Ovis aries: one gene and its partners. The protein of the gene in region 3 interacts with the protein of the main gene of each other region in a pairwise test. Links are inferred from orthologs where the notes say so. Each region holds a gene or a part of one and is shown on either strand. Other genes may lie near its edges. The genes, in order: PSMD9, STAC and NCKIPSD.

Region 1 (4,009 bases), on a different chromosome or scaffold from region 3:
TCAGTGGGAACATGTTAAGAGGTTGTGTCATCTTTTGGTTAAGCTGGGTTCAAATTGGGGCTGCTTATTTTGCTAGCTGGGCAAGTGAGTCATTGAGATGATTTTTCTCACCTGTCAAATGAGAGTAATAATAATCCTGGTTTATGAGTTTGTTGAATTTTTTAAAACAATTTATTTGGCTGCGCCGAGTTTCAAATCTTTGGAGCATGCGGGATCTTTTTTTAAGTTGCCACATGTAAACTCTTGGTTGAGGCATGTGGGATCTAGTTCCTTGACCAGGGATTGAACCCTGGCCCCCTGCATTGGAAGCCCACAGTCTTAGCCACTGGACCACCAGGGGAGTCCCAAATTTGTTGAATTAATACACATAGGGCCCTTAGAACAGTGCAATGCGTTGTATTTGATAAATTATTAGTATTGATATTATTGTTGTCATCAATACTATTTTTACTGATATTTATAGAGACCTTAATATGAGACACACTGAGTCCAGTGCCCACTTCTTTGCCCTTCCAGCACCTAGGACAGTGTATGACACAAAGGAGGCATTCAATAAATACTTGTTTGCATTTTGCAAACAGGTCAACACTATGTCATATGAATATCATATGTCATATGAATGTCAACACTATGAGATAGATTGCTATCAATAGCCAACCAACTCACGGATAAGGAAATGGAGGCTCAGTGAAGTGATTTATCTAGGCCACTACTGGCAGTAAGAGGCAAGAGCTGGGATTTCAACCCAAGCTTATAGGCTTTGTAAAACCAGGAATCTGAGTATTATGTAAACCCTCAAGGACTGTGTAGATGCAGAGCTGAAATGGAGCGCCACGCACAGTGCGCTGCCCCATGCATACAGGAGGCGCTCAATACATAGCTGAATGAATGAGAAAAGAAAGCGAGTCAACTAGAGAGAGTTCATCATGCCCTGGTCTGGGCCAGCGCTTGGGTGGGACTGGGAATCCATCCGTCCTCATACCTCCCGCCAAGAGTTACCACAGGACCACTTGTTCCAGCAGGGTGTGGTTTCTGGTGACCACGCCCCACAGACAAAACCACACCTTTTACTTTTCCGGGCTCCCGCGAACAGCCGAGGTGTTTTGGCCCGCGCGCGGAGCCGTAGCTACAGTTTCCTCGGGCGTCCGCGGCCGGGAAACCGGCAGTTCTAGGTCCCGGGTAGACGTGCACAATGTCGGAGAAGGCAGGGAGTCAGAGTGGGGGCTCCTCGGAGGCCAGTGGTGTAACTGTCAGCGACATTCAGGAACTGATACGGCGCAAGGAGGAGATCGAGGCCCAGATCAAAGCCAATTATGAAGTGCTGGAGAGCGTGAGTGTGGGAACTGGGCTCCCGGGCGGGCTGGGAGGCCCCGCAACGCATTCCTGACGCGGCCCCAGGCCGGGCAATGAGGCAAGTAACGTGAATAACTAGGAAGGATTCGAATCGATGTTCTAGCAAGCATTTATGGAGCCCTCACTGGGAGCTGTGTTAAACGCTTCACATTGGTTAACGCATTTAATCCTCCCAATAATCTTTTGAGGTGAGTTCTATTATTTCACCCATTTTAGGGATGGAGAAAGAGACATTACTTAAACCTGCCTGAAGTCGCAGTTCAGTTCAGTCGCTCAGTCGTGTCCGCCTCTTTCAGGGCTAATAAATTTGCAGAGGCAGGGTGATAATCATCTCTGGCATCGGTCGTACAGTTACCAGATGTCCTGTAACCACTTTACCTTAGAGCTTCTTAAACTTTAATGTGTACGCGAATCACCTGGCGATCTTATTAAAATTCAGATTCTGATGATGCACGGGTGTGTGGGAACAGCTACTGCATTTCTGCAAATTCCCAGCGATGCTGATGCCACTGGTGTAAGAACATAACAGGAAAGGTTTATTATCCTTACGGTATAAGGAGGAAACTGGGGCCAAGAGTGGGGCAAACCCTTGCCTAGGGTCCTGTACGTCGGAAGTGGCTGTGACGGGGTTAGTTCTCAGGCCTCTCTGGCTCCAAAACGGATACAGTTTTTCTTAAGCCACCTAGCGTAAAACCACAAATCAATTTGCCGAGGAAGAGTAAATGAATTACATTCTATACAGGGTGGATGAAGTGCAATGTAGGTGATGCTTATAAGATGAAGTATCATGTGGAGGCCAGGGTACCCTTTTACTGGGTGCTGACTGTGTGCCTGAATTGAGCTGGTTTATGTGTATGCTATATCCTGGAATCCTCTTAACTGCTCTATGAAGTTGGTATGTTACTCTGGGACTCAGAAAGGGGAAGTCACAAGATGAGATTTAGATCTTATGCCTAGGGAATCCAGAATCTGTGCTTTCAAGTGGTTTCTCACACCTGAGTTATTTTTCTACTGCAGACAGGATGCTGTGTCTGTATACCTCCTGTACTGTTACTCCCTTGTTATTTTCCTTTAAGTTAACCCATATTTTTTTACTTAATCTTATTTTTAAAGGAAATTTTGTAACTTCACAGCATATGAAAACATAAGAATCTCTTTCCTTAAATATGAACTAATGAAAGTGATCCCCCCCCAAAGGTGATCTATCCATGTATCTGTCACCTGATGAATGGATAATGAAATGTGGTCTGTCCATACAATGGGATATTACTTAAATAAAAAACAGTGAAGTGCTACATATGCTACAAAAGATCATGAACTTTGAAAGCTAAGTGAAAGAAATTCATCACAAAAGACCACACATTTTATGATTCCATTTATATGAAAGATCTAGAATAGGCAAATTCATGGACAGAAGGTAGATTCGTGGTTGCCAGGGGCTGAGGGGAGGGGGAGATGGAAGTGGCTGCTAGTGGGTCAGAGTTTCTTTTTGGATGGTGGTGAAAGTGTTTTTAAATTGATTGTGGTGATGATTTCATAATTCTATGAATATTCTAAAAACCACTGAATGGTACATTTATTTATTTGGCTGCACCACGCAGCATGATCTTAGTTACTTGACCAATGATGGAAACTGTGCTCCCTGCAGTGGAAGCACAGAATTCTTAACTACAATGGCACCCCACTCCAGTACTCTTGCCTGGAAAATCTCATGGACAGAGGAGCCTGGTAGGCTGCAGTCCATGGGGTCGCTAAGAGTCTGACACGACCGAGTGACTTCACTTTCACTTTTCACTTTCATGCATTGGAGAAGGAAATGGCAACCCACTCCAGTGTTCTTGCTTGGAGAATCCCAGGGACGGGGGAGCCTGATGGGCTGCTGTCTGTAGGGTCGCACAGAGTCGGACACAACTGAAGCGATTTAGCAGCAGCAGCAGACTGCCAGGGACATTCAGAATTATACACTTTAAATGGGTGGATTGCATAGTGTATGAATTATATCTGAATAAAGCTGTTTTTAAAAATGGAGAGGCCCAGATATAACAAGTGATCTGGAGATAATATGGAGACCAGCACGACTTTTTCTTTGACTACTGGAGGATTGATGATATTTGGAAAGGGAATAAGTATTTTAGATTCAGGGTTATTAAATGCCTTGTATATGAGTTGCCAGTGGCCCAGGTCCCAACGTTGGAAACCAGTCTCTGATGCAGTATTGCCTTACTGCAATCAGGAAGGCCAGTCAACTCTTAATCATTGTGAGCATACAGGAGGCAGATACAGATATTAGCCCCTGGCACATTTATACCGTATCTATAGAGAGTCCTGGGTTAAGGGAGTATACGAGACCCCCTTCCCCATGAACAGAAAACAGTAAGTGTAACCCACAGGCTTTCAGAAGGAAAGGGAGAGAAGTGAATGGAATCCCTCCCCTTGGAACCTGTGTATGCTCAGCAGTTAGTCTCTGTGCAGATCATTACAGCCCTCATTTATTACTTTCTGTGTGTATTAGTTTCCTGGGGTCACCGTAACAAATGATCACAAACTTGGTGGCTTAAAACAGCAGAAGTTTATCCTCTCTCAGTTGTGGAGACCAGCAGTGTGAAATCAAGGAGTTGGTAGGTTTGATTCCTTCTGGAGCTCTGAGGGAGAAGCC
Region 2 (4,038 bases), about 41 Mb from region 3:
TACTCTTATCAGGAGAGAAAAAAAGTTATTTTAAAAATGCATAGTGAAATCTCATAATCAAAACAGATGAGCAAATATAACCAAACAGAAATAGACTCGTAGATACAGAGGACAAACCAGTAGTTGCCAGAGGGGAGGGAGGTGAGGTGAATGAGTGAGTGAGGCGAAGAGGATTAAGAGGTACAAGCTATTAGTTATAAAATAAGTAAGTCACAGGGTGCGATGGATAGCACAGGGAATACAGTCAGTAACACTGAGTTAATTTTGTATGCTGATTAATCTAGAACAACACGGAATCGCTGTGTTGTAGACTTGAAACTAATACAATACCGTAAGTCAATCAGACTTTAATAAAATAAAAGAAAAAATGAATTTCAAAAGTCCTTCTTGAGAAAGGTTACTGTCCAGGGGGGCTAAACCATGCCTGTCCCACATGGTATTTTGACAAACAGATCACTTCAGAGGGGAGTAGTATGGGATGACGAGCTGTCCATGTTCTCCTACCAGACACTCGTTGTCAGATGGAAGATCCTTGTAAACGCCAATAAACCTTCAAATGTGGTGCTCCTGGTGCAGAATGAATAGAGCCTGCCTCTGTTCCTGTTTCTTGCCATCCTGCTGATCCCTACCGCACAGCCTCCACATCAACAGTTTAGCCCTTTTGAGAAGCATGGGGCCCCTTGGAGAGTATCAAAAACACTATGCCAAAAAAATTTCACATTCAGGCACAGTACCTTGCATTCAGTTTCTTGGGGTTCATGGACAACCCCCCATAGCCTGTCTCCACTGATTAAGAACACCTAAGCTATGACAGCACATTTAGGAATATATAAATACACATAGAGAAAAACCGACGCGCACAAGCCTGAAACCATAAGCCAGATAAATTGGTGGATAATGATGGGTATTACATATGTAGTCTTTGCTTTGCCAAAGAATTTACATTAGGGTATCTATAAATAGCAAGCCCATACAGTGTGTTTGAACCATGCTGCTATAAAATCAAATGCTAAGCCCCTTCCAGAACATACCTACTGCAGAGCAACAGGCCCAATTATAAAAGCTGATTATTAGTTTCAGTCTTGAGTTTAGTTACATTCATTTCCAGGATTCTAGATCACCTGTGAAGTGCCCACTACCCCGCATCACCTAGGTGAGGGACCGTCAATGGCACACAATGGTAGAGAGCCAGTAACATCTGATTGCAGGGGCAGTGGTCCGTGTGTGGGGGTTGTGAGACCCATTTGGAGTGAATTGTCTGTGGTGAGATGGATCCCATCTCCTTATCTCAGGAAGGAAAACAGTGAATAGGATTGAGTCCTTACTCTGTACTGGGTGGGTGTTAGGTCATCTCTCTCTGCCTCTCAATGATTCTGGAAGGTGGGGTTTTTGCCCCTGTTTACAATTAAGTTTTAGAAAAGTTGACACACATGTTCCAGGTCAGACATTTGCCCCCAAAATAAAGATAATGCCAAGCATTATCTTGGCATTGTCTTGGATTAGCATCTCTGATGGTTAACCTTCAGAGGCTGGGATACTGTCCAGAGGGCAGGATCACTTAGGATGGGAGTCACTTAGCTATGCTTGTGATCCTGCTGATTTGCTGATGGCTTCCAGGGATGGGTGTGAAGGCAGAAAAGGACGAGACTCTTCCTGGCCCCATCTGACCTGCTCTCCACACTGGCATCCTCCTCTCCTTCATTCCTGCACAAGAACTGCCCCACATTCCAAAGACACCCAGGGAACCCACAAGGAGGTCTGGAAAAAGAGCCAGGAGCCCTGCGCTTAAGGAATCCATATAACTACGAACTCCATCTTATGGTTTTTACTCCCGACTGAGATGCCATTTGGCATCGCACAGCTAGCAGCCGCATTTTACTTGATCCTCTTCCAAGATTTCCAAACATGCGCCTGGCACCAGTGAACGTTTCAGAGTAAGTGTAACAGTGACGGAAGTGCCGCGGGGTTGACTTTGTGTGTATCAGTGTAACTCTCACAAAAGCAAGTTTAAGTGCGAGGACTAACTTCCACGAGAGGATCATCAACTTTCCCGAGAAGGTAGCATTTACCTAATTTTTCTGAAATCAGCGGTATCCGAGGTTAGGGATGAGTCCGGTTAGCCTAAGGGTCTCAGGCCCTTGGGATACAGGCGAACCTTTGCTGGTTCGCAAATGCCCCGGCTTTTCTGGAGGAGTGTCCTGGGCTGTCTGTCCCTCAGCCTTCAGAAGCCGCCTAATACCCACACGCGCTTTAGGCACATGCAGGTTCAAAGCACAGAACAAGCACGCCACCACCACCCAGGAAAGCGATCCGAACCCGGAGCCACTGTGAACTGCGGGTGCTCGCAGGGCAGGAGCCCAGCGCAAAGCCCCGGGGCCGTGCGGACAAGAAGACTGGATCCCCAGCGACGTGGTCCAGCATCGCTAGCAGCGAGTCCTGCCGGGCATTCAAATCTCAAGGGAGCACAGTCCTTGAGAAGAACTAGGGACGCGTCTTAGCCTCCGGCGCCAGCGCCAGTAGGGAGGAAACAGAGGTGGACAAGAGAGGAAGAGGAGTGAGTTTGTGTCCTCTCGGGGCAAGCGTGCGCGGTACCTTGGATTCCTGACTGCCGGTGGATGCAGGAGAGGGCGGCTGCTCGGCGCTCGCCGTCTCCTTGGGCAGCCCGTCCACGCCGTCCTCGCGGGCGCCGCTCGGGGGGATCATCGTGGCGGCGCGGGAACGGTGTTGGGCTCCCGGAGGAACCGCGAGGCTCGCCTCCCTCCGGAGCGCCCTCCCCGCCGCGCGCAGGCTCGCTCAGCTTCTGAGGCCGGGGACTCCCATCCTCGCCCAGGCGCCGCCGCGCCCTCCTCCGGCCTCGCCCCCGCCCCGGCCCTGCCCACCTCCCGGCGCCCGCCCGGGCTGGGGGAGAGCGCGCCCGCGGCCACCTCGGCGACGACCGCACAGTCGTGACTGCCGCTCGGCCGCTTGCGAGTGGGCTCCGGCTGACCCGCTCTCCGGAGAAGGGTGGGTGGGGGTGGGTGGCTCCGGGGCGGGGCTGCGCGGGCCCTCGCGGGGAACAGCAGGGGGCCGCGCCCTAGGGAGGCCCTGCGACCAGGCTGGGCGAGCTCGGGTGCTCGGCACGGTCCCGGGATGCTTTAGGAGGTAGAAGGAAAATTCAGACCAAAGCCCGAGTGATCCAGCGGGAGGGACCACCTGCAGCAACTCCCTGCTTCTGCACCCGGAGAAACTGCGACTCTCAGGGAGCCGGGATCCGGTGACTTAGCCAAGTTATTTATAGGGTTCAGTGACGGAGGAAGCAGAGCTGGGGTTTCCTGGCCTGAGGGCGCTCCTCTTTCCTCGGTTCAGCTTTGGACTGAAGCAGAGAGAGACTGCAAAACGTGGATGTGCCCTAGTTTGGTTGTGCGTTTATGTGTTAAGCCGGTCACACTTTTTACATATTTAATCCTCAGAGCCACCCTATTAGGCTAGGTGTTATTAATATCATTCTCATTCATAGATGAGAAAACTAGGAGACTAACTAATCTGCTCTAAGTGGCTGAACTATAAATGGTGGAGCTGGGATTTGAACCCATTTTGGCTTCAAAATCCATGCTTTTTGGACTGTGGGGCCTCAAATCCAGGCCAAATCTTCTCAGCTGTGGAGTAAGTGGGTATTGCAAGATAGCAAGAATGTCAGGGCTGTTTGCGGAGGGGCAAACCAGGGTGTCTTAGCAGATCTTTTGGAAACAGAGAGATGGCCCCATGGAATAAAGGGGCAGAAGGACCTGGTACCTTTTGAAGAAAAACCTCGATGTGCAGGGGAGGAAATACATCTGGATATTTAAACCATCCTCTGCCCCCATACAAAACTGCTTAATTTTCTAACAGGCAACTATAAACTCATGTTCAGATTTTATTTATTAACTATAAATGTTTGCAAGGCCAGCTTCATGGTTTTACTGAATGCAAGCTCATGTGCCCAATGCACAGTGAAGCCAAACCAGCTGAAAAGTCGGAGTTTGGGGCAGTACTCCAGGGCTTGTGAGGAGACAGGTGGCT
Region 3 (4,133 bases):
CTCTTGGCCACACCATCTGCCAGCACTCCTACCCAGCCCTGGAGCCCACTGCAGCCATGCCAGTGCCATCCTTCATATGGTTCCAGCCGGGCAGCCCCCAAGAGAGCTGTTTCTGCTCTGTTCTCAGAGGGTTTCAGGGAGAAGTGTGGCACGAGATCTCGAACTGCTGGCACAGGCATGAGGGAGAAGGACCCGGAACTAGTGCCAAGAAAGGAGGATCTGGATGTCCAGGTCTAGCAGCCCCACCTCTTGCTTGAACCTCTCAGCACCTTCTCTCCCAGGTCCTGTGCCTATATCCACTATATCCAAAATCACCCACCTGCATACACTGGCCGGGTTGTGCCTACCTGCTCCCTGGGTCCAGGCTTCCAGAGAAGAATGTGACTGGACCAGTCTCTGGACGGCGATGGGTGGTCCCCAGAACTCTGGGTTTATTGAAACCCAGGTACCCTTGGTTTTCCCTGCTGCTTCATAGGACTACAATGACCTCCCCAGGTCAGGGCTGACTGGAAGGTGGGCCAGACAGGCTCTTAACGCCACATGGTACCCCAATCCTCATCCACCAGCCCTTCTATCTGCTCTCAGAAGGAAGCATCAGAAATAAAGATAACGGATTTGTAAGTCTCCAAAGACCGCAGAAGAGAGTGATGTGGAAGTGACTGATAAGGGTGGGAGCCTGACCTTATGCTGTGAGGAGGGAAGTAGTGTCCCAGGCAGAAGAATGGATATGCAAGGACCCACGTTAGAGAGGAAGAGAGTAGTCAGTGGCAGAAGAGAAGCGACGGGGACTGAGGATGGGAGGACTATGGGCAGCGAAATGGCCTGACCTGGTTTTTGTTTCTGCAGCCCCCTCTCCACTCTTGCTCCCCGTTGCCCACCGCTGGCGCTTAAAGAAGTGAGCTCAGCACGCCTCGAGACACAAGAGACCCGGGGTTGCTGTCCTTAATTTAGTAGGTCAGGATCCACTTCCCTGGGGTGGCATAGATGCAAGAGGCTTATCAGCACAGGACACAGGCTCTGCCTTTGGGCTGCGGGCGAGCTCTCCTTTGTGAAGTAGGGTGGGCCGCAGTACTAGGGCTTGAGCCGGTAAAAGGAGTGGAGGGCCGGGCAGGAGCAGCTGGGGCTGGGGGCTCTAGGCGGGGTGCCGGGTCAGGGAGTCTGGAGCTTGGAGAAGACAGTCCTCGGAAAGGGCGGTGGACTCTCGAGAGCCGCGCCCCTCGGGGCCGCCAGGGGGCGCCGCGCTCCCGCGCAGGAGCCGACACTGCCGGGGCGGGACTGCGGCGGGCTGGCGGGCGCGCGCGCGCACGCGCCGTGTGTCACGGGGCAGGGCGAGCACGGCGAGGAGCTGCCGGCCTGGCGTCCTGGTTCTTCAGCCCCGCGCCGTCTCCCCTGCCCCGGCGCGACTCGGCCTCATGTACCGCGCGCTGTACGCGTTCCGCTCGGCGGAGCCCAATGCGCTGGCGTTCGCCGCGGGCGAGACCTTCCTGGTGCTGGAGCGCAGCAGCGCGCACTGGTGGTTGGCGGCGCGGGCGCGCAGCGGTGAGACCGGCTACGTGCCGCCCGCCTACCTGCGCCGCCTGCAGGTGAGTGTGCCCCTCCCCGGCCCGGCCTCCGCCGCCCCTAGACTGAGCTCCATCACCGGCCGGTCGGGACCTCCAGCAGATGAGGACTTTGAGAACCTGACCGAGAGACCCCGCGGGGACTGGGACCCTGAGAGCCCGCTCCCTCCACAGAGGACCAGGCCCTTGACAGCCAACTCTTGAGGACTCCAGACCTACCTAAAGCCTAACTCTGGGACCGAGGCCCCAGACCCCACATCTGAATCCCCAGCCGAATACAATTCAAGAGTCAGCCCCGAGATTCCAGTACACCAGATACTGAGCAGTTCCCCAGGTCACGGAAACCCCTGACTTAATTGGCCCCTCGCCTGGATCACCAGGATCCCAACACTCTTGCCTCCTCTTCCACAGCTTCCACCCCTGAGACCCCCGGCAACCCTGGGCACTTTCTGTTTCCCCAGCCATCTTCTACGTCTTCACCCTCCCATCCCACCCCCCCGCACTTGGACCAGGAAGCCGTGTACACCCCCATCCCCTAAGTGACCCCCCAAGCCCTGAGACCTCAATATCTTTTATTGTCCTGTACTTATTCAGCCCCTAAGCTCTTCCCAAAACACTTTCGTCAATCTACTTTGAGCCTGGGTTCCCAGCTCCTGCTGACACTCCCTGGCACTACAAGCCTCAGGCCCTGACTTTTCAGACTTCCTTTCTTGGAAAGTGAGGGAGCCTGAGCCTTCCTTGTCCCCAGCCTAGGGTGGGAGCTGCTCCCTTAGCAAGGAAGTGGGACTTCCCCACGGCTTCCCCTGGTGTGGCCATGGCTCCCCTGTTTCCTTCCACTGGAGGTACAGCCCCAGTTCCTGTTTCCCCCAGAATAGACCTGGTGTGGGGGTTGGGCTGCATTGTCTCCAGCTGGTCTATTCTGATCTCAGGGGGAAGGAGGGCCCAGAGCCTCCAGGCCTGCCCTGTGCCAGACACCCCCGCCCCATCCTAGTCTCTGGCTGAAGGAAGCATCCCAAGCCGGCCCAGTTCAGGACAGAAATAACAGGATAAATTTGGAGATGTCATCTGTGGCTTTTACCCGAGGGGATGGGCCCGGGGCCCTGGACCCTTGGCCTCGTGGCATCCAGGAGTGCCTGGGTGGGAGCGGAAGCCTCGGACACCAGGGCTGCTGGGTCTGGAATTGAGCATGTCAGAGCCAGTCTCTCTGGGGCTGGGGGCTTGTTGGAGGCCTCCAGGGAAAGTCCTCCACTTTCCCCCAGGGCCTGTGAGGCCCCTCGCCTGCCTTGGCTATTGGGGCTGGGTGTTTGGGGAGGGCAGAGAGGGTACCACCTTCTCTGTCTCTTGGTTTCTTGCTGCGTGTCTCCCTCCGTCTTGGTCTCCCTGGCTGTCTCTGTGTCATTCTGACTCTCCCCTTGTGTGTGTCCACATCCTCCAACTCTCTCCCCTTCTCTGTCTCCGAATCTCAATTTCTTTCTGCGCTGTCTCCCTCTGCTTCTCTCTTTTCCTCTCTCTCTCTCTCCCCCTCCCTCTCTCTCTCACCATCTTTCTTGCTTTCTGTGCATCGTCTGCCGGTCTTGCTCTGTCCCCTTTTCTGTCTGCTATCTCCTGCACTCTGACATGCCCCCTGTTACCTTTGGGGCTCTGCTGACCTCTGAGTCCATCTGTCTGTCCCTGTCCGAGAAGCCTCTCCAACCCACTCTGGTGTGATCTTATCTTAGTTCTGAGGCCCCTGTGCCTGATGGACCATGGGTGCCAAGGGCAAGGGAGGGGTGCGAGTGACTGGTCCCGCAGTTGGCAGCCCCCTACTCCCCCCACCCCATGCCAGCCAGGCTGGGTCAAGGGGACCCCTGAGCTGCGGTGGATGGCGACACAAACTCTGGGGCAGGGGCCAGGTTCCACGCTTATGTCTGTCTTCTGCCACAAACCCAGAACTGCTGTTCCCCAGCACAGCTCTGGAGGATTCCTTTCTCACAGCTAGAGGGGATGAGGGCTGGCAACACGGGTCCAAAGAGGAGGTCCCTTTGGCCTGTCCTCAGCTACCAGGGCCTGCAGAAGGCTCTCTGAGGATGGGGCTGTCCTGGAGTGTGGCCTTGGTTTTGTGACGGGTCAGAAAGATCCAGAGGGTTTTGTTCAGAGCTCCAGACCCTAGAGGCTCCCTGCTTGGCACCTCAGCCTGGGATCTGAGCCAAGCCTGGCGATAGAGTTAGTGTGCACTCCTGGCCTCAAACTAGGGGTCTGTGGGCTGTGTGTTTGCTTCAGAGCCCAGACTTTCAGAGATGACTTAGCCGAGAGCCTCACCATAGGTAAAATCGCGAGCGGGGGCCTGATATATAAAGCAGCAGCCTGGGCCCCTCCCTGTGGCCCAGCTTCCCAAGTGACGCAGTTTGAGAGCCCCGATTGATATCTAGTTCATCTTGCTGTGTTGGTCTCTAGTATTCCAGGCTTTGAGAGCAGCTGTGGCCCTCTGCCTGCGCCAGGCTCCCTCCAGGGCTGGCGCTGGCCTCCGTGCCCTCACCTGGCCCCCAGGGCTAAGAGCCCACTCCTGCCCCCCTCACAGGGCCTGGAGCAGGATGT

What was found.
Region 1: the proteins of NCKIPSD (region 3) and PSMD9 interact in binary tests that used the Homo sapiens proteins (3 or more experiments, as listed by UniProt). The two-hybrid records come from large-scale screens. The link is inferred for Ovis aries from reciprocal best matches to the Homo sapiens genes NCKIPSD and PSMD9.
Region 2: the proteins of NCKIPSD (region 3) and STAC interact in binary tests that used the Homo sapiens proteins (3 or more experiments, as listed by UniProt). The link is inferred for Ovis aries from reciprocal best matches to the Homo sapiens genes NCKIPSD and STAC.

Annotation. Positions count from the first base shown.
Region 1 is NC_056070.1:53,464,537-53,468,545, reverse strand, and holds the start of PSMD9 (26S proteasome non-ATPase regulatory subunit 9), read left to right. Parts: upstream 1-1,164; 5' UTR 1,165-1,192; coding exon 1,193-1,330; intron 1,331-4,009. UniProt on the Homo sapiens protein: Acts as a chaperone during the assembly of the 26S proteasome, specifically of the base subcomplex of the PA700/19S regulatory complex (RC).
Region 2 is NC_056072.1:10,158,947-10,162,984, reverse strand, and holds the start of STAC (SH3 and cysteine-rich domain-containing protein), read right to left. Parts: upstream 2,803-4,038; 5' UTR 2,704-2,802; coding exon 2,593-2,703; intron 1-2,592. UniProt on the Homo sapiens protein: Promotes expression of the ion channel CACNA1H at the cell membrane, and thereby contributes to the regulation of channel activity.
Region 3 is NC_056072.1:51,240,117-51,244,249, forward strand, and holds the start of NCKIPSD (NCK-interacting protein with SH3 domain), read left to right. Parts: upstream 1-1,315; 5' UTR 1,316-1,412; coding exon 1,413-1,583; intron 1,584-4,116; coding exon 4,117-4,133. UniProt on the Homo sapiens protein: Has an important role in stress fiber formation induced by active diaphanous protein homolog 1 (DRF1). Induces microspike formation, in vivo. In vitro, stimulates N-WASP-induced ARP2/3 complex activation in the absence of CDC42.